Saccharomyces cerevisiae S288C: one gene and its partners. The gene in region 3 interacts genetically with the main gene of each other region. Each region holds a gene or a part of one and is shown on either strand. Other genes may lie near its edges. The genes, in order: MNS1, GIS4, FUS2 and SIM1.

The links.
Region 1: mutations in FUS2 (region 3) and MNS1 together harm fitness more than expected from each alone (negative genetic interaction), as found in Saccharomyces cerevisiae (2 studies listed by BioGRID).
Region 2: mutations in FUS2 (region 3) and GIS4 together harm fitness more than expected from each alone (negative genetic interaction), as found in Saccharomyces cerevisiae (2 studies listed by BioGRID).
Region 4: mutations in FUS2 (region 3) and SIM1 together harm fitness more than expected from each alone (negative genetic interaction), as found in Saccharomyces cerevisiae (2 studies listed by BioGRID).

What each region holds. Positions count from the first base shown.
Region 1 is NC_001142.9:665,944-671,202, reverse strand, and holds MNS1 (mannosyl-oligosaccharide 1,2-alpha-mannosidase), read right to left. Parts: upstream 3,560-5,259; coding exon 1,910-3,559; downstream 1-1,909. Other genes in the region: NMD5 (Nmd5p), read right to left, coding at 1-1,681; STR2 (cystathionine gamma-synthase), read left to right, coding at 4,066-5,259. UniProt on the Saccharomyces cerevisiae protein: Involved in glycoprotein quality control as it is important for the targeting of misfolded glycoproteins for degradation.
Region 2 is NC_001145.3:254,183-260,223, forward strand, and holds GIS4 (Gis4p), read right to left. Parts: upstream 4,235-6,041; coding exon 1,910-4,234; downstream 1-1,909. Other genes in the region: DNA-binding transcription factor YAP1, read left to right, coding at 1-1,618; TRM12 (tRNA(Phe) (4-demethylwyosine(37)-C(7)) aminocarboxypropyltransferase), read left to right, coding at 6,039-6,041.
Region 3 is NC_001145.3:735,030-740,868, reverse strand, and holds FUS2 (Fus2p), read right to left. Parts: upstream 3,944-5,839; coding exon 1,910-3,943; downstream 1-1,909. Other genes in the region: RNH1 (RNA-DNA hybrid ribonuclease), read right to left, coding at 1-603; TRI1 (Tri1p), read right to left, coding at 1,004-1,684; tethering complex subunit PEP5, read right to left, coding at 4,235-5,839. UniProt on the Saccharomyces cerevisiae protein: Promotes cell fusion during zygote formation.
Region 4 is NC_001141.2:125,676-130,692, forward strand, and holds SIM1 (putative glucosidase SIM1), read left to right. Parts: upstream 1-2,475; coding exon 2,476-3,906; downstream 3,907-5,017. Other genes in the region: alpha-ketoglutarate dehydrogenase KGD1, read left to right, coding at 1-58; AYR1 (acylglycerone-phosphate reductase), read left to right, coding at 529-1,422; POG1 (Pog1p), read left to right, coding at 4,935-5,017. UniProt on the Saccharomyces cerevisiae protein: Involved in the remodeling of the cell wall during the various phases of yeast culture development and under various environmental conditions. Required for the maintenance of the CLB5 kinase activity.

The DNA of each region.
Region 1 (5,259 bases), on a different chromosome or scaffold from region 3:
ATAACTTCATATTAAACTGGTCATCACTGATAAAAGTTTGCAATGCCAATGCAGCTGTCAATTCTACAGGTAAAGAATTAGAAGAGTTATTCAGACAATTCATAACACCTTCGTAGATAGTAGAGGTTATTACCGGGTCTTTGAAATCCATAGAACCCAACTTCGAACAAATATCGCAAACACGACTTTGCAGAAACCCATACTGAGACTTAAAAAAAGGTAAAACGTATGTCAATATAAACTTTTCCATCTCACTGGCAAATGGAGAATCTTTAGTTATCAAACGGTCAATAATGCTGGAGAATATTCTCAAACAGGACTCAATTTGCAAGGCATTATCCAACATAATATTGTTGTAATCACCAACGGCACTTTGTAAGGTTGAGACCATAAATTCTAAGGTCGGTTGTAAGGTCGTTTTACCGCGTTTCGTCACGCATGTCGTTAGCAAAGCCAGTGCGGCAAGATCTGGGGAATAGCCGACATCCCAAAAGTCCATATTCCGGTTGATATATTCTTGAGGGTCATTGTCAAAGGCCTCCAAAGTCTCTGCAGTGGGCTTTAGTAGTGGGAAAATGACATGTTGAAGTATTACATTGTAGTGGGGCCCAACAAGTTTCCAAGTTGTTTTCTGCACAACACACTGCTCAACAAAGTTCAATATGTAGTATAAGCATTCGTCACTTAACCACAACTGTCCAGTTCCCCATTTCTCGATTTGATCGAAGACGACTTGCAAAAACTGAGTCAAAAACTCTTCACAGTACATCTGTTTAAACTCATCGTACTGAAACTTCCTTGTTAATGACGTTGATGCGTATCTCTGGAAAAGTCTATAAAGGTTTGCAAGAGCCCATTTCTTACATTTGACCCATGGATTTTTACTTCTGACCTCAATATCTGATATAGCCAAAACTTCCTGAGGCAATGGCTGCTGAATGATGCTGACAAAAAAACATGCCCATGGGGTAAACGATTCTGAGCGTTGTAATGTAAATGGTAGGTCATGGTATGAAACGAACTTATAAATTTTAATGATTAATTTTACCAATTCGCCAATTTGCTCGTTATTCATATATTTACCATCTTGGAAAAGGACATTTGCGCCATAGTTTAATAAAGCAGGGAAATAATTTAAAATCAACTCTTCTAAGTCCTGTCTTTCATCATTATTCTTCCACCTATAGGTCCTAAAAATCTCAGCAAGACACAGAAGTCCGACATATGTTACTGTGATGTCTTCATTTGCGAGTAATTCTAAGGAATTTGGTAACAAATTGCCCCATTTTTTGCTAGGGTAATCTTCTGAAATAATTACAGTAAGGGCAGATTTTAGCACTCTGATACAACGCGGGGAGGTCTTGGACACACTGACCATTGTTTTAATTAACATATCTTTTACTACTGGTTTTTCATCCGGATCAACATGTGAATCTAATAATTCATTTGAACCCTGTCTTGCACCAGCAGACCATCCGTATGTAATCTTATTCTTGAAATATAAGGAAGCTGATAATTTGATGTTTTCTGGTACTTCATCAGCAGCAATGATATCCAGGCATGCGCCTAAGAATCCCGGTACTTTACTTGCATTTTTAAGATGTGTTTCTGCATTAGTTCTTACGGCAGCGTTATGGTCCAAAGTACAGGCAAAGCACTGTAACAATTCTGTAATATCCATCGAGAATAAAATGTCTTCGTCAAAATCAAAATTGTGTCAAATATCCAGACGAAAAATGATTGATTATGCTGAAATATATAAATGAATATTGATTCAAATATACTTTTTTGCTGAAGTAAGCATTGCAAATTTTTCATTTTCCTAAACATGGAAAAAATGGTATAGCACATCATCACACCGCATAGTGAATTTTAAAAGGCGAATCTGGCCACTATATAGCACACTAACCTACAACGACCAACCTGTGGTCAGAGACTGCGATTTTAATATTTCTTCGTCTAATACTGGAAAAGGATGAGCTTCTGTGTTGAAAACAACTTTGGTCAAATCAAACTCGTCTAAAAACAATATATATAAATACTTTAAAGTCTCTGCCAACCAGAAACTTTCCATATTGTTAGATTTCTTTGTAGGTAACGTGATACAATCACTTAAACTGGTGAACCGCCTTAATTTTGGGTCATTACAATCAACACAGGTATTTTCAAAGAAGCTAGTTGCGATTTCCGCCCCCCATTCACGATATTTGTGATCATGAGATAAATGATACATGAACATAATCGATTCCACCGTTTCTGGTCTTTGTAGGTTGTGCCTATCGAGTGGTTTAACAAAAAAATCACCCACAGACGACCGCCACCAACCATCCTGTTTTATGTTTCCATCATTGAAGACAACGATTTCAGGCGCAAGCCCCGAGGAAGACTGCTTGTACATTTGATAACATGTGTCAGTTATCCCTTTAGCCAAATCCCAGTCACTTTTTCTTTCAAGGGAAAGAGAGAAAAACGGACGTCTTCGGGCTTCATGAATAGAAAGGCCCTCAGTAGAGCCTGATGCTAACAATCCCCCCATAAAGCACACGAGGTGGTCCATCTTAGGAGAAAGTTGTCCATGTAGACCTTGTTCTCTTTCCCCAATGTACCACAGAGAAGAGGGTTTGGATTGTGCTAATAAATGCTTTTTCATACCTTCCATGGATTTTCTGTACAGATCATAATAAAGTGTTTCGTGCGTCAATAAATATTGTTTTAGTAAATACTCATAAAAAGAATCACCTCTTGATCCGAACCGGATAGTCGAAGCACCAAACTTCCCAGTATCTGGAAATGTATAAATTGGAACCAATCCATCGTAGGTATTTAGAAGATCGTTATTTTTGTATAATGGCTCGTAAACACGCTCCACCAGCTCCCAATAAGTACGATTTCCTGTCAAATACGCCAGATATTTGAATTCCATTTGTAGCGTAGTGAATTCTGCGGTAGAAGATGCCCCCCCATCTGCATGGTTCTTAACCGCTTGGCCACTATGAAGGTTTATACTTGAGTATGGAATTCCGGTCTGAGTGGATAAGAACGCCAAAGCAAGCCTATCCCCCAAATCTATTGCTTTGTTCAAGTAGACAGTCTTATTACCTACTTCTAAAACATCAGATAGATGATATGCGGATAATAAACCACCTAGCATTCTAATAGTAGTTTCAAAAACATTCACTTCGGCATCAATATCAAAATCCAAAACATCGTTTATCCAATGCTCCGATCTCTGAATTTCTGCCTCGAACTCACTTTTGTATAGTGTGGAGGAGTTATACATTAACATCAAGGTATCCACTGAATCTACGATAATCCAGCCTAACGGCTGGTTGCCACGAGGCATATTATGGGAAGTGTGCTCAATAGGTCCATACACATCGTATCCCCAGCCATGCTTGGAATAGTCTCTCCACGATTCCAAGAACATGCTTTCAATCCGATCTCTCATTTCTCCGGCCCCCGGTGACTTTCTCTCAAAGTGTTCGTACCATGGCACATAGTATATAGCTGCTATGATAGCAACAATGGTTGCAATTGAAATACCGACAGAGTTCTTCATAGAATCCTTTTTCAATGTTTAACCTTTTCCTCTTTTACTACCTTTTTCTGTCGTCTTTCGTTTCTTGGCAAAGCACATTTCTTTCATTCTTTCGTTTGGCGAAACTGAAAATTCCAAATAATTGCTCTTCCACAGAAAATGCGTTACAACCAAAGTGAATTTGTAAAAGTTTAACCCCACATTTTGCTACAGTCTTATTTAAAAATAGCAGTATTCATATTAAAATATCTTGCGGTTTAAGAACTCAATTAACTTCAATGATTGCCAGTGTTGTTCAGGTAAAACCCTTCAAACCTAGTAAATATGACTTATCTTCATGCGTGGATGTAAAAAACAAAAATCATGATAGCGCCTCTGCACTTCACAATATCTCGGTCTAAAAATTAGTCATATATTTTGGATATATATATATATATATACCCATATATATAACGATAGTAGAATGACGCTCATGTGCCGATTCGGGACCTACATAAACAAGAGAGAGAAGAGGAACAGAAGAAAAAATGATATCTAGAACCATTGGTGAATCTATTCCGCCCAACACAAAACATGCTGTTTCCGTGTGTTTGCCCACATGGGAAGCTACAGTAGGCTATGAAGAGGGTGAAAGCAGTATAATTAACTCGCTTACTACCGGATATCCAAGATTTTTCATACACAAGTCAATAAAGAAATTATGTGAAATTTTATCCGCTAAGTACTCCATGGAAGATGAAGCTTGTCTTTGCTTCCCCTCTTACAAGGTTGCCAATAGGTGCAGAGAGTTTATCAAAGTGAAAACGGGTCTTTCTACCAAAGTACGCATCTTACAACTATGTACACCTAAACCTATGAACCAAGAGGAAAAGCTCTGGAGAAGGGAATGTAAAATCACGGTGGTGTTTGTAGACCAGGAAATATTCCCCGTGATGAAGCAGTATTGGCAACATTCTGGTGAGATTGTATCTAGCAGAATGGCGGAGTATATTTTACATGAATTACAAGTCAAGGATAATCTTAAGAAGATGGAAACAGTGGATAACGGTAAAAAATTTATGACCGAAGATGAAAACAGAGTGAACGAAGAATATATAGAAACGAGATTTGGGAGAAATTTAAATTTTCTTGCTGCTGATAAAGCCAAATATCTAATACGAAAGAGGATTGCCACAAAAGTTGTTGAAAAAATTGACTCTGAAGGTCTATCGGACCTATTCTCTTTTGAACACTATAACGAGAGCAACGGTCCATTCAATGTTGGCAGTGGAGAGGCTCTGGATGATGATCAGTTGAATTCGGACATACCTGCCGAAACAATTACTTCTATGGGAGAAAGTGGCTCAAACAGTACTTTTGAAAACACAGCTACCGATGACTTGAAGTTTCATGTCAACCCTAATACGGATGTTTACTTATTTCCAAGTGGAATGGCGTCCATTTTCACTGCCCACAGGCTGCTTTTAAACTTCGATGCCAAGCGCTTATCAAGGTCTTCTAGTAGACAAGATAAGTTGATTGGATATGGACCTCCGTTCAAGAAGACCGTCATGTTTGGATTCCCATATACAGATACTCTGAGCATTCTTCGGAAGTTCAATCACACACATTTCTTGGGACAGGGAGATTCAACGTCAATGAACGCTCTGAAAAATATTTTACATTCTGGTGAGCAAATACTGGCGGTATTTATAGAAGCTCCATCGAACCCACTGTTGAAA
Region 2 (6,041 bases), 480 kb from region 3:
TTTGAGGGACCAGTTAATCACTCTGGTGAATGAGTTAAAAAAATATAGACCAGAGACAAGAAATGACTCAAAAGTGCTGGAATATTTAGCAAGGCGAGATCCTAATTTGCATTTTTCAAAAAATAACGTTAACCACAGCAATAGCGAGCCAATTGACACACCCAATGATGACATACAAGAAAATGTTAAACAAAAGATGAATTTCACGTTTCAATATCCGCTTGATAACGACAACGACAACGACAACAGTAAAAATGTGGGGAAACAATTACCTTCACCAAATGATCCAAGTCATTCGGCTCCTATGCCTATAAATCAGACACAAAAGAAATTAAGTGACGCTACAGATTCCTCCAGCGCTACTTTGGATTCCCTTTCAAATAGTAACGATGTTCTTAATAACACACCAAACTCCTCCACTTCGATGGATTGGTTAGATAATGTAATATATACTAACAGGTTTGTGTCAGGTGATGATGGCAGCAATAGTAAAACTAAGAATTTAGACAGTAATATGTTTTCTAATGACTTTAATTTTGAAAACCAATTTGATGAACAAGTTTCGGAGTTTTGTTCGAAAATGAACCAGGTATGTGGAACAAGGCAATGTCCCATTCCCAAGAAACCCATCTCGGCTCTTGATAAAGAAGTTTTCGCGTCATCTTCTATACTAAGTTCAAATTCTCCTGCTTTAACAAATACTTGGGAATCACATTCTAATATTACAGATAATACTCCTGCTAATGTCATTGCTACTGATGCTACTAAATATGAAAATTCCTTCTCCGGTTTTGGCCGACTTGGTTTCGATATGAGTGCCAATCATTACGTCGTGAATGATAATAGCACTGGTAGCACTGATAGCACTGGTAGCACTGGCAATAAGAACAAAAAGAACAATAATAATAGCGATGATGTACTCCCATTCATATCCGAGTCACCGTTTGATATGAACCAAGTTACTAATTTTTTTAGTCCGGGATCTACCGGCATCGGCAATAATGCTGCCTCTAACACCAATCCCAGCCTACTGCAAAGCAGCAAAGAGGATATACCTTTTATCAACGCAAATCTGGCTTTCCCAGACGACAATTCAACTAATATTCAATTACAACCTTTCTCTGAATCTCAATCTCAAAATAAGTTTGACTACGACATGTTTTTTAGAGATTCATCGAAGGAAGGTAACAATTTATTTGGAGAGTTTTTAGAGGATGACGATGATGACAAAAAAGCCGCTAATATGTCAGACGATGAGTCAAGTTTAATCAAGAACCAGTTAATTAACGAAGAACCAGAGCTTCCGAAACAATATCTACAATCGGTACCAGGAAATGAAAGCGAAATCTCACAAAAAAATGGCAGTAGTTTACAGAATGCTGACAAAATCAATAATGGCAATGATAACGATAATGATAATGATGTCGTTCCATCTAAGGAAGGCTCTTTACTAAGGTGTTCGGAAATTTGGGATAGAATAACAACACATCCGAAATACTCAGATATTGATGTCGATGGTTTATGTTCCGAGCTAATGGCAAAGGCAAAATGTTCAGAAAGAGGGGTTGTCATCAATGCAGAAGACGTTCAATTAGCTTTGAATAAGCATATGAACTAAAGCGGGAACTTTATGGAAAACTGGGTAACCGAAAGAACTTTTTCTATAATGTTACAATTAAACTTTTTTAACTTACCTTGCTTCGCCTTTTCGCCGAAAGTAGGTAGATTGTATCACCTCGGTATTTTTTTATGTACACAACCTATACTTTAAATATATTTAGACTATGTATGAATTCTCTGTATCACCTTCAATGTCAATATAGAAACTGGTAAGTGCAATAGTACCAATAATGATTATAATTATAATACAAGTATATATATATATCTATATATAGTGGTAAAGTATTCTTTACATGATGGCACAACGCTGAGATTTATCCGTACCTGCAGAACCACTGTTTTTATGATTCTTAAACCTATTCATCTGGAATTTCCAACGCTTTCTATCCTTGTTAGTGGCATGAGTAGGGTTATCTATGCCGCTTAAAGACTTTAGTAATGTAGGTAAAGGCAAACTTTTGGACCTTTCCACGGCACTCATAGCATTGATGGAACTCTTTATCTTTTTCAACTCATTTTTGGAATTACTTTCATTGTTACCCTTGGAATTAGGTTTGTGAGAATTTTTTGTCTTCAAAGAATGGCTAAAATTCGAGGAAGTCGTATTAGAGTTCGACAGTTGTGTCATTGGATGAGGTTCACTTGATAAAACTGTACTTTCACCTGTTTTAGAGTTATCCAACTCGTTACTATTACTTTTATCGATTTTTGTAACAGAATTATGTCTATTGAATGCCCATTCCCCGATACTGTTTACGGTTCTAATAGAACGATGTGCTGTAGTAACGTTAGATTCCATTCTAGTTGGTATGTACATTTGTGGGCCTGACTGTTCTGATAAAGAAGCATCGTCACCATCGTCTTCATCGTCTTCATCGTCAATATAGTCGTTGTAACCGTTATTATATGCAGTCGGGAAATATTGTTGCGGGTCGTTAGTTAATGATAACTCAGAATCTAGAGGTTGCTCTTTTGATATTCCTTCCCTATTATCATAATTGGGATTTTTGAATTCTTCTTCAACCTGTTTGCCGGAGTTTGTCACAATAACCATTGTGTAAAATAAAATTTTTGGAAATGATCTCTTGATATCTAGCAAATCTTGAAGTGTTAGAATTTGTAAATTATTCATTGAAAAATTGGAATCATACAGCAACCAATCATCGGTAACGCTTGCCATTGTAGGTTTATTGTTTGACTGTCTAATCGCAGTAAAAATTTCTTTGGTGTCTGGATCCTGAATTAATATAGATTGCAAAACTAGCCTAAAATACCCTAGAGAATCACAAATTGAGATTGACGGTAGAATGGATAGTACTGAGTAATCGGAAGAAGAAAGATCTTCATCATCATAAACCTCTTCTCCATCGTCCTCTCCTGATCCATACCCTTGGGCGTCATAGTTATGATGAATTAAATTATCCTCCTCCTCTGGGGTTGTCGAAGTAGTTAAATTGTCTATAGAACTCGTTATACTTGACAATTCAGAGACATAGGTGGCATTCGTGTGATCGATGTTTTCACGTTTTGGATTACCTCGGCTGCTACTGCTTAAACTGTAGTGGGCACTACTACTATTACTGCTACTACTATAGCTAGTGTAGCTGACCGAACTTTCCATGCTATAACTTGCTTGATCGATACTCTCGTCACCTAGATCATGTGAGACTCTGCTATAATGATCCTCAACTTCATCCTGACCACTTTCATCCTCGCGCCTGGCAGTAGTTAAACTCAGGTCTTGTCCGGGATATGTGGATGATACGTCTTCGCCAGCAAAACTATCTATTGACATTATCTCGGAATGTGACGGTGTATAGTCTTCATTAGTGTATGATGGAAAAATTTTGGGTAGTCTATTAGGCTTTGAATCTACTGTTCGCGAATGAGAAAAATTTAGGACTATAGAACTTGTGGCATCCTCTTCATCAACTTCGTTTTCATTATCTTGAGGCGTATCATTATTATTGCTTTGACTATTCACGGATGTAACGTTTATATCAACTGTGTCCGGAGATGTCAAAGTCCTCGTATTCGTATTAGTTCGGGTAGCTGTTGAAGTCTGGGTATTTATATTTGACCACTGATCATCCGAAACGTTTGATTCTAGCTTCCCGTTTGAAGCTTTTGATGAAGATATTGTGGGTGGTGGTATTGAATTTCTATTGTTATTGTTTAAAGCCTTGGAATTTTTTTGAACTTGCCAACTTGTACTCGCAAATTCTAAAAAGGTAGGGTCTTGGAAATTGTTGAGGTTGTCCGTCAATAGGTAATGATTTTCATGATTGTAGCAGTGGGAGTGAGTTAATTTTGAGATTTGAATGTGTTCTAATTTTTCCAGATGAAAGTAATCTTTGAGGAAGATTTCCAATATGGAGATATCTTCATGAACATTCTCTGGGATGGAAACTAACAAAATCTTCTTGTTTGGCCTGGCCGAAATATTGTTATCACCATAAAAATGACTATTCAGAAATCTTTTTAACAGAGTGTATTTTAATTGATTGCCTATAAGTTCTTCAAAATCGCCTAATCTGAGGTTTGTTAAGTACCACGACCACAAACCATTGTCATCATTGTCAAAATAGTCGCCCACTCTAACGGATTTTTGCATTATATTTAAGTAACAGAGTGCTTTTTGATGGTTTTTGTTAACCGTCTTTCGAGCAGTTGAAGGATGAGAGTGAGTGTTAATGAGGGGTTATTTCTGCAAAACTTCTGCCGATATATTCTGCACTTAGTTCCCGCTGTTGTTCAGCCTTCACGTTCCTTAGCTACACAAGTCAGTTAAATCTGGTCCTGCCAAAGTGAATAAGTTGAAGATATTTATCTAGCTTGCGATGGAAAAAACTACAATAGGAAAAAAACTAATTAAAAAAAGAAAAAAAAAGAGAAGAATTCAATGTTTAGGGATATAAATTCGATATAAAGGTTTAAAGTAAATAAATTTCGTGTATTACTATGCAAGTAATGTTTCTGCCTGCACCGGCTTCGTAGCTGGTGGAGTGCGATAGCGATGATACTACCTGAAAACACAGAGGAAGGCCGTCAGCCCCGCGCTAGGAACGATGAGGAGAAACCAGTTGGCGAATCGCCACATGCCATTTACGTAAAAGATGCTGTGTAACCTAACAGAAATAATCGATGGTGTGAACTAAAGTCCTAGGATGCACATAAGCAAGCGAAAAAGTGAAAACAACATTTCCAGAGCTAAAAAAATGCATTTGCCGATCCGAAATAATCTCAAAACGAAAAAATGATTATGGACGTAAACAAAATTACCGCATTTCGCTCTCCTATTATCATAACAAGCATGAGCGCAAAACTTAAAAATCCATCAAGAGGCAAAAAATAACGACAACTGCAGGACTCGAACCTGCGCGGGCAAAGCCCAAAAGATTTCTAATCTTTCGCCTTAACCACTCGGCCAAGTTGCCATACTAACTTGATTATTTGTGTATTCTGTTTTCTTGTGATTCCTTCTGGTTACATAATTACATTGTCTATATTCATATTTGATTCTAACAGCAGGTAATATTGGTCTATCGGCTACTCGTTCAAAAAATTAAAATCGTTATCAATTATATTCCATAGTATAGGTTGTTAAAAGATGGAATTAATTAAAGTAGAGTAGTAGAACAGGGATCACAGTGTTATTAGATTTTGGAGCAACTGATGTGTGTGAGTAATATATAAGGATGAATCGAATGAAAGTATTATGAGAAAAGGAATCATCGTTGTGTAAAGTTGTTCATTTCGTATTTCTGGGTACTGTGAATGAGATGAACTTGCTGATAATCGTTGGCATACTATTATTTGGAACGGTAATATTTTTGCGAATACAAAGTATACTGTAGTTTTTCCCCGAGGATTTACGAACCCACGAGAAGTGATCAATATTTCTACACAGTAGCATTATGATCTCTCTTTATTCGCTTATGTGTCGCCATTCACTACCCTATCATAATTCGGATCCTTGTGTTTCAGCTCCCATTAAGTTTGACGACCGTTCGTCATTTATTTATATTCTTACACCGTACACGATAATATACTTATGCGAACTCTAGTCGGTCGATGGTGATTAATTTTCATTTCAATATTTACTTATATCGGCGATAAGTCTTAAGCATGGAATTTATAGTCATTCTGTCACCCCTCCGAAACAGAAATGAATTTGTAAATGTATTCACTAAGTTTAGCCGTTTTAGACATTTGAATGTCGTTCGTCATCAGCGCGGCCAATATTGTTTACATGAAGAAAATGTTGTTAATATAGGCACTCTATTTGGTTTCATTATGAGAAGTATCTTGCTGCTTGATGTCTTCGCACTTTTTTTTTCCAGATTTTTCAGGTGATGAGGTGGAGCTGGAGGATTTTACAATATTACTCAAATAATTTGTAGACAACGTTAGCGTGAATG
Region 3 (5,839 bases):
CGTGCCGTTTCCAAAACTTGAACCATCACAGTAAACGTTCATAGACTTGTTGTACATGGTATTGCTAGAAAGCTTATACTTAGATTCAAAACTTTCTTTGGATATATTCATGAGCTTGTAATCATGCGCACTCATACCACTAATGAAGTTTTCCGCAGCTAATTGGTCTTCAAACTTCTTGAAGGTTATACCCCTTTTATGCTTGACATAGGCTTGACAGTCTTTCCAATTGTTAAAGATTTTACTCTCGATATTTGGAACATTACTCTTTACTGAATAAAAGGTATTTGTATTAGCAGAGCTTAAAGATGAACATGCTGATGACGATGTCAAGGAGGAATAATGAAGTGGCCGATTCCTTCGATGAACTCGCTTTTGAGTGGTATGAGGTTTACTAACTTGCCCTCCAGCATGCGTTGAACTTCCATAGTTTGATGTAGTATTTGGTTGACCTAGGAAAGATTTCGCTTGCTCGTAGCTGTTAAATTTTTTATAAATTGCACCACCATAACCATCAACTTGGTTTTTACATTCATTCCATGTATTATAGATCCCAGTTTCCCTGCCCTTTCTAACCGCGTAGAAGTTCCCTTGCCTTGCCATAATTAGGAATCGATAGTTCCTTCGATAAGCAAGGAGTGACACTTTAACTAATTTAAACAACGTGTATTATTGTGCTGCCATGAAATTAATATAGATCTTTACGACTATTGTACTTGCTTTTATTCATTGTTGATGCTGCTGTCATTTTTACATTTTTTTCTCCAGATAAAAAATAAAAAAAATATGCCATTAATTGATATCATCAGAATTTGACGAAATTCTCAAATCGAATTTGCCATAGTATTTCTTTAACGCCGTGAAGTGAAATTATTTATTACTAATGCTACATTAATTGTTAATTTACCTGTTTCAAGTACAATACAGTAGGTGCAGTGTGCTTTATACATGTCATCAAAGAGGAAAAAAAATCATTAAATTTGTATAAGTGCTACAGCCAAGATCAACCGCTTAAATTGGGAAGAGATTCGTTTTCCAATTTGATTTCTTTTTCGGGTGTTTGCTTTTGTTCCTCTTCATGTTTCACAATTTCATCGGGATTAAACAAGTGCTTAGTTAAGAGTTTATTCATTGAAAACATCGTCATTTTTTTGCCAAAAATTGGTTCCATCTTCTCATCGCATAGAATTTCTCTACGATCTTTTGGGTTTTGAAGATCATGCTCTTTGATATACTGCCATATCATCTTCACTACTTGCGTTCGTGGCAGTTCTTCAGATCCTAGAAACTTTTGTAAAGGAGCTGACAACAGAACTTTGCGGACGGAAATGCTGTTGGAATCAGGACTATCATTCTTTTTCTTCTTCCTTTTAGATTTACTTTCACTTTTACCTTTCCTTTTCCTCGTAGACCTCAAGGGTCTTTCTTCTTCCTTCTGTAACCTCAAAGATAGTTCTTGATCCCGACTAATGAGGTCGTTCTTCGGAATTAAGACTCTTGGGTTTTCTTGTATATCGCCGAACCTCTCAAGAATCAATTCATTAATTAACTTTCTTTGTGAATCCAAATTAACTGAATAGAGAATTTGCAGGGCTTTCCTCACCCTTTTTGGGCTTATTTCATCGGGGTTGGATACGCTCAAAATAGCGTCAACCATCGGAATATATTTATTGATGTCGGCCATAATGCTTTCACCCTCTATTTGCCTTCTATTTGCTCATTTCCTCTTAAACTTTTTCTTAAGGCTTTTCATGAATTAATTAAAATTTTCTTTCTCCTTCGCGCCAGCAAACAAATTATAGGTGACTGACTATAGTTCAACATATATACTGCTCCAGCGCAGTAGTACTACTTTAATAAAAAAGAAAACAAAACATTCTAAAAACTATAAGCTAAATATACTCTTTTGTTAAAGTTCGAAAAGTTTTCTGACAACACGGCTTCCACTAGGGTCTCCAGGGAAAGGCCAATCTTTTCTTACCATGCGTTTTGTCATATATCGTGATTTAGAATAACACTGCAAAATATCAAGATTTTTAATTTGGCCGGTAGCTATAGAGTCATTAAGAGACATATTTTCAAGATCTTTTTGCAGGTATTTTTTTCCACCAGCAATGATTTCCAAATATTTTAAGAAGACTTTGATATAGTTCAACAAGATACATTCGATAGTATCGTGGATCAAAGTAATAAAGACCGGTAATTCCCTTTTCATCTGGTTTTGCAGGTTTTGGAAATGCATTCCCAACAAGTCACGTTTAATATCTCGCACATTTGCTTTTTTTTCTTGTAAAAATAACATGTAATCTTTCTTCAAAGCTTGCAAATCTTTTAGTTTGCTTTTAACGGTAGTACAATGGGCTATGATTCTTTCAAGTGGGTTCATCACATCTGTTTCGAGCTCTGTGAGTTTCAAAATTGTTACTTGATTTTTTTGTTCATGCAGTTTATCTATGTACGAAGAACACATGGTCGATATTAAGTTATCGTGCGCAAAAAATGCACCAGAAGGGCGTTCGCACTCGATCACCTTTTTCCATGCATTTATTCTTCTTAAACTGATATCAATAATGCCTGACAGATCGTTTTTCAATAAATTCTTTTTTAATTCTAACAAACCTTTCATTACTTTCTTGAATTTACTGATGTGATCTGCCAATGTAAAAAATTCTGTTTCTTCATCCATTTTTAGATTTATCATCTCAGCTGAGGCAGTTGAAGTATTAGTGACAATTTCTAGCCCTGATACATCTGAGTAGTAACTCGATGATCCAGAAAGAAGAGAAGGAACTCTACTATTATCCAAATTACTCTCTTGTCGAGATGCATTACATATATTTTTATTTTGTTTGTCTGGGGGTTTTAAAAGGTGTGTAAACTGATCTTCATCATAACTTTGTATAATCTCTGATGGGGTTAAACTGAAATTATACATGGAATTACTCTTATACTCGGAGACCTCGGTTTCTAACTTATTGGAAAATAAAGAATATTTTCTTCTTGTCGGGCTTAGTTTCAAGCCCAATTCTGGCGAAAGAATATCTTCGTAACAGCTTTCCAAAGTTTCCAAAGTATCAATCCACTGAGTCAGTCTTTTCATCGGGCTTTTCAATATGTCCTCTAACTTTATACATCCACTCTCTTTTAAACAATATTCATACCACTTGTTAAAAAAATGATTCTTATTCATCCTTAATGTAGTAAATAGTTCCATTTGTTTTTGGTGGCTAACAAAATAGCTTGTGTAGGTGGATTTGATTCTTAACAAATGTTGCTCGAACGCCTCTGAAATATCAAAAGTTGAATATAGCTGCTGTTGTACCTCATTTTTGGTGAATATCTTTTGCCATTCATTCGCATCCAACATTTTCCCACGTTGCTTGGCTAAAAGTAGGTCTTTTATTGCCGTTACCAGTATTTTGCTGATTGACGCAATAGTGTCAATGTTCCCAAAAAGCAATAGCTCGTCACTTGAATCAAGCTTGACAAGTTTATTCTTGAATCTTGGATCACTATTCAATGCCTTTCTGTATACGTTATTTGCGGTTAACAAATTATTGTAATATTCCACTTCAGAGAGGTAAAACTCCTGTACGATTTTATAAAATTTGCATCCCTCGTGAGGAGAATTGGGAATCTGAGGGCTCAAATTCAGTCTCACGACATTTTGAAATATCTCTGTGTTAATAGGAGAGTAAATTTTTTTATTGCTCAGGCTCTCCACTATAGAATGCAAGTCCAGACTTGCTGGTCGTTTATTCGTGAATTTTTTATCGTTGAGTTTGTTTTCATGTTTCGATAACTTTCTCGTAGGTTTTCTAACAATTTCTGGTAATTTGTCATCATTTTTATGAAAATAGTCATTTTTGTAGTCTCTTATTGGCGTTAATGAATCATTTTTCGGATAGTTCAAATCGTACAAGTTATATGAAGTCTTAAACATCGCAAGGGGTTTTCTTGTCTTTTTCTTAAGAACTTACTATAACAAGAAAACCTAAAATTGGTTTCACAAAGAAAAAAGATACTTTGTCAAATAAAAGACGGTTGCCACATTAATAATTTTTTCAAAAGGATGTATAAAGGGTCTATCTTAAATATACAACTTCGTCTTCACCTTTGTCTTTTCCAACATGCGCTGTTTCAGTAGGTAACATATATGTTTCAGATTAACTTCGCGACAAGTTCGGGGCGCATTTGTGACGCGGCGGCGACAATAGATCGTTATGATCCATCATTAAATAGTGATGTCAGAATAACTGATGGCACCTCTACCTAAAAACTCTGTTATGACTTTGAAACGGTCTCTACTACCTTCTTCACTGTTTAATGCAAAATTCAAAAGATCATTCTTTTCAACTACTTCGTGTTGAGCTTCAAAAAGTTTGTTGGAGGTTTCTAAGTCCACCAAGCATTTGGGACATTTAAAGAGCTTTCTCTCGCTTTCTAGAGTATCTTCTTCCTCATTTAGACAATGTTGGTGGTAAATGTGACCACATTTAAAAAAAACTACAGGAATATCCAATGTCAGTCTACACATGAAACACGTTTGATTCTTCAGGGGTACGTGGAGAGGTTGATCTGAATTAATGGTGTTCTTCAACTTCTTGTTTTTCTCCTTTAACTCTTTATCGTAAGATTCAATTAGTTTTTCGTTCCTTTTGATTTCTGTATCTTCGGTTTTGACATGATCAATAATGATGTCTTGTATCAGCCCAAAGTGGGCTACATTTGTACGGGATAGCGCTTTAATTATATCCAACAGTGGCATTCTTTCCCCCTCTATAATTGGCCTCAATACTTTTTCTTTCAGTACTTCATTACCGCCCATCTCCTTGAAGATTAGTTTATTAGAAACAAAGTAACTCAATGCTACTTGTAAGAGCTTGGGTTCCTCTGTGCCATATTTTTCTAGGAATTTGAGACAAGTACTTGGTTCTTCATTTAACGTCATAGCCCTAAATGTACTCAGCAAATCCATCTCGGGGTTATCATTGGCAAATGAAGCTATGTCAATTTTCGTCTTATCTTTTGCTGAAGCACTACTTTGATCCATATGGGAAATTAACAGCATTATTGAGTTATCCACCCTTTTGCTAGTATTATTACTTGCGGCAGAATACACCAATTTATTGCTCTCACGCAATACGCCAGTTGCTCTTGAACGCCAGTCGTCTATACGCTCGGGTACATCATTTTGCGCCAAATTCAAATATAAGTCATATAAAGTAGTCAAAATTACTTGCCTATCTTCGTCAAAACCCTCATACTGCTGGTAACATGCCAAACAGGCTTCTAAGAAAACAACAAATTCAAAAGGTTTTGTAACGAATGAACTGAAAACAATGGATGGCTTCGGCGGATGATAAGTAGGCTCTTCATGTTCGTGGGATGCCTCTGAAGACTCGCTCATTGCGTCTGATGTACCATTTGAGTTCATGTAGTTGAAGAATGTTTTGTAACTGTAAAAAACTGTTCTAATATTTTCAGAAAAATCGCCCGTCGTATCTCTCCGGTCCAGATCCACTTCAAAAGTGGATGGTTTGAACTTCCCTGTAAATACTTCTATCAGTAAAGCATTAGTTTCATTCGGTGACTCCTCCAGTAATTTTTTCGAGTACGTCACAAGGCATCTTAGGGTTTCATCAATTGGTAAACTTTTTATGTATTTTATGGCTTTTACAGGGTTATGCAATAGATTCAATAAAATATCCACAATAATTAATGAATCCTTTGAATACTTCTTTGCAAGTCTGTATGAGAGACGCTTAAAATCTGACTCTTTCATAAGCTCTAAGATTAAATCTAAATCAAAAAAATCGTTATCTGAATAAAAAAACGT
Region 4 (5,017 bases), on a different chromosome or scaffold from region 3:
ATCACTACATTTGGCCGAAGAAGATGCCTTTTTGAAAGATGTTTTCCAACAATCCTAAAGATGAATTCAAATATGAAAAACATGAAAATACAGCCATATAAACACGTAATATTTTTACCTTAATGTTTATGGACAGCCTTTTTACTTGAAGAATGATCTAACAAATATTTTTTTTGATACATTCACATTTTTTTTTTGTTCATGATGTTAGCATCTGCTTAGTCTTTTTAAAATTATTTAATTTAACGTTTTATTTATGTGAACCTTTTTTTATTAGTTGTATTTACTATTTATTCAAGAATCATTCTTTACTTTATATTGATATCGTTTTTTTCCCCCTACTTCCTCCTCTGGTGTATTCACAGCTAGGTGCTTCTCTTGTCCTCATCCGGTGGAGAAAAAAAGTGAAAAATAAGTCAATGGAAAGGGGGAAGGGGGTAGGTAAATAGAGTGAATAAGTTTTATTCATCATGCCCAACTTCTATTAATATATACTCAATTCAAATATTGATCAGGATTTCAAAGAGTATGTCGGAGTTACAGTCACAACCTAAAAAGATTGCCGTTGTTACAGGCGCCTCAGGTGGTATTGGATATGAGGTAACGAAGGAATTAGCCAGAAATGGCTATTTGGTTTATGCATGTGCAAGAAGACTAGAACCAATGGCACAATTGGCCATCCAATTTGGTAACGATAGTATCAAACCATATAAGTTGGATATTTCCAAGCCAGAAGAAATTGTAACATTTTCTGGTTTTTTGCGAGCTAATTTACCTGATGGTAAATTAGATTTATTGTACAACAATGCCGGTCAGAGTTGTACATTCCCTGCATTGGATGCAACAGATGCTGCAGTAGAACAATGCTTTAAGGTCAATGTGTTTGGTCATATCAACATGTGCCGTGAATTGTCGGAGTTCCTTATTAAAGCGAAAGGAACCATTGTCTTCACTGGTTCCTTGGCAGGAGTTGTGTCATTCCCCTTTGGTAGCATTTATTCCGCTTCTAAAGCTGCTATCCACCAATATGCTCGTGGGTTACATCTAGAGATGAAGCCCTTCAACGTGAGAGTGATTAACGCTATTACTGGCGGTGTGGCTACTGATATCGCTGATAAAAGGCCCTTGCCTGAAACCTCAATATACAACTTCCCTGAAGGTAGGGAAGCTTTTAATTCAAGAAAAACCATGGCTAAGGACAATAAGCCCATGCCAGCTGATGCGTACGCAAAGCAACTGGTTAAAGATATCTTGAGCACTAGTGACCCTGTAGATGTTTATAGAGGAACGTTCGCCAACATCATGCGTTTTGTCATGATATTTGTTCCTTACTGGCTATTGGAAAAAGGACTTTCCAAAAAATTTAAATTGGACAAAGTTAATAATGCTTTGAAGTCGAAACAGAAGAATAAGGACGATTAGTGTTTCACCATCGTCAATAGCTACCTATATTTATATACAAGATTCCGTATAGTTTGTACACCACGTCAGGACATCAATAGCTAATAATCGTTCTAATGCTAATGTTCAACTGCTCTTTAAGTATTGTTTACGTCTCGTCGTACCAGTATGCCAAATTCCTGTCACTTCACTCATTCTCTTTGCTCTTACCGTTTGAAACGCGCTGGGACGGAATTCGCTCATTTCGCATCGTGCTTTGTTGTTTTTTTTTTTTCAAAATTGCCATTGTTTATTTATAAACTACATGAAATTATTCTGTATTTATCTTCGCATTCCCTCTCTTACTTCAAAAGTGAGAACAGCATATTCAAATATATATATCTACTCAGTTGAATAAGACACTATAGCAAGACCATTTGAACTGAAAGAAACAGTTTCTTTGCTCCCCTCTCGAATTCCAACTATTTACAGTCCTTCCTTTATAAAAATTAACTAGCGAGCAAGAAAACATTTGTTTAGTGCTACCCAACTACTTACATTCCTTTAAAAACCACAATATTTAAGTTAACCTGAGCTTTATTTTTAGTAAGTTATTTACCACAATTTTTCTCATACACCTTTACAATCCGTATTGCCATGAATACCAAGGCTTGCTCAGCTTCTGCAGCAGTTCAACCCTTTCCAATACCGCCAATGCGTCCTCAAAACGTTAGTTTAGTCGTGCTCAACCGCTATTTTTGGTTTTATCTTCGTTTCTTTCTCCTGAACGACATTCGTCACGAAAATTGCGGCGGAAAATTTCCTGATGCGGACACTTTTTCCCGATCCGGACATGCCTTTTTTTGGCGTTTCGCGTCAGTCAATAGAAGTTTCAGATCTACATTAGGAAGAACCAGAAAATAGCCATTAATGCTTTCAGCATAGCACAGCATAGCAGCTGTGTATATCTTAAATAAGATGTAGACTGGTTTGCATTTGGAAAGGTTTTGTGTAAGAAAAGCAATACTTGAGGTAAAACAAGAGAAAAAAAAACACTTTACTAACTAATATCCAATCCTTTATTTTTTTGCAGAAATGAAATTCTCAACTGCCGTTACTACGTTGATTAGTTCTGGTGCCATCGTGTCTGCTTTACCACACGTGGATGTTCACCAAGAAGATGCCCACCAACATAAGAGGGCCGTTGCGTACAAATACGTTTACGAAACTGTTGTTGTCGATTCTGATGGCCACACTGTAACTCCTGCTGCTTCAGAAGTCGCTACTGCTGCTACCTCTGCTATCATTACAACATCTGTGTTGGCTCCAACCTCCTCCGCAGCCGCTGCGGATAGCTCCGCTTCCATTGCTGTTTCATCTGCTGCCTTAGCCAAGAATGAGAAAATCTCTGATGCCGCTGCATCTGCCACTGCCTCAACATCTCAAGGGGCATCCTCCTCCTCCTCCTCCTCCTCGGCAACTTCTACCCTAGAAAGCAGCTCTGTTTCTTCATCTAGTGAAGAAGCTGCTCCAACATCTACTGTCGTGTCAACTTCTTCCGCAACCCAATCTAGTGCTTCTTCTGCCACTAAATCTAGTACTTCTTCCACTTCACCATCTACTTCTACTTCTACTTCCACTTCTTCTACTTCCTCTTCCTCTTCCTCCTCCTCCTCCTCTTCTTCTTCTTCTTCTGGCAGTGGTAGTATCTACGGTGATTTGGCCGACTTTTCAGGCCCAAGTGAGAAATTCCAAGACGGCACTATTCCATGTGACAAATTCCCATCTGGTCAAGGTGTCATTTCTATTGACTGGATTGGCGAGGGTGGATGGTCCGGTGTGGAAAACACCGACACTTCCACTGGCGGTTCATGCAAGGAGGGGTCCTACTGTTCCTACTCCTGCCAACCAGGTATGTCTAAGACCCAATGGCCATCCGATCAACCATCTGACGGTAGATCTGTCGGGGGTTTGTTGTGTAAAAATGGTTATTTGTACCGTTCTAACACTGACGCGGATTACTTATGTGAATGGGGTGTCGAGGCTGCCTATGTTGTTTCTAAACTAAGCAAGGGTGTCGCCATTTGCAGAACCGACTACCCGGGCACTGAAAACATGGTTATCCCAACCTATGTTGAAGGGGGTAGCTCTTTGCCATTGACCGTTGTTGACCAAGATACTTACTTTACTTGGGAAGGCAAAAAGACATCTGCTCAATACTACGTTAATAACGCCGGCGTCTCAGTTGAAGATGGGTGTATCTGGGGTACTTCTGGATCTGGTATTGGTAACTGGGCACCATTAAACTTTGGTGCTGGCTCCACTGGTGGAGTGACATACTTATCATTGATTCCTAACCCAAACAACAGCGACGCATTGAACTACAACGTCAAGATAGTTGCTGCTGATGATTCATCCAATGTCATCGGTGAATGTGTTTACGAAAATGGTGAGTTCTCTGGCGGTGCTGACGGGTGTACCGTCTCTGTTACTTCCGGTAAAGCTCATTTCGTCTTATACAATTAAGCTACGTGACTACTACTTTTCCTTTTTTTTTTCTTTTTTCGAACACATCTCACCCCCTATACCTCACACAATCACTATGGTCCCCTTTTCTTTTTACCGATATTTATACTGTCCACCTTTTTCTTTTCGTTAATGGCCTCAATGTTTCTGTACCATTATCCAAGTGAACTTGTTAGACGACCAAATATAGCCAAGATTCATTACGATTATCTTTAACTAGCAAGTAGTATTCTTGGATAGAGAGATTTTCAAAGACGGAACAATTTTAAATAGATTTACATAAGAAAACACATACTGTCCGATACCCATAAGAAATTTAAGAACTCTTTTCATCTTCAGCTTTCCGGCCTCCTTTTACTGTAGCCTGTTCCTAGACAGCTAAAAATAGTACATATGCAGCTCTGCAATAGTCTCAAAGGGGATATTGTGTAGGTTTACGAAATCATCACATTTCCGAATCAGGACATGAAGGCACAACTTTCCGCACGTAGTGTTTTCAGCCCCCAGCGCCTGTCGGCGCGAAGAGGATCTGCGGAGATGAGCTTTGCCCCGCCATTACCCGTAAAATATTACTGTTTTGGGCAATTGTGGATCAAAAAGGGAAAATGCGGATGGTGAAAAAAATTTTTGGAAATTTACTGCTTCAGATGGGGGAACTTTGTAAGTTCTTCCTTTTTTTTCGTAGAGGTTGGAAAATTCAGAGTGCTAAGAAATTAAAAGGTATGCACTGCCTATTCTCATAAAAGCAAAAGTGCACAAAAATAATAAGGTGTGAAGCAATAGTAGAAAAGACACTGGGAACCCAAGGTATCTTATTTTAACAGATAAGTAAAACTAAGATCAAATCGCGTACTGATATCACTTAAGGTTCGCGTATTTTAAAGGCTACGCAGAAGAGGAAATAAATTGCGTGCAATCCCTGCGCTTAACTCATACAAAAAGGCGCAAAACATTTCAAGAGTCCCACGATTAATTGCAGAAATTGAAAAAAAATAAGTAAAGACGAAAATCAAAGTGGATGCCATATTATGAAGCAGGAGCCACATAGACAATCCGAAGAAAAAGAGAAGCCGAAAGGACCAATGGCTGTTGAACGAGAGCAGCATACCTC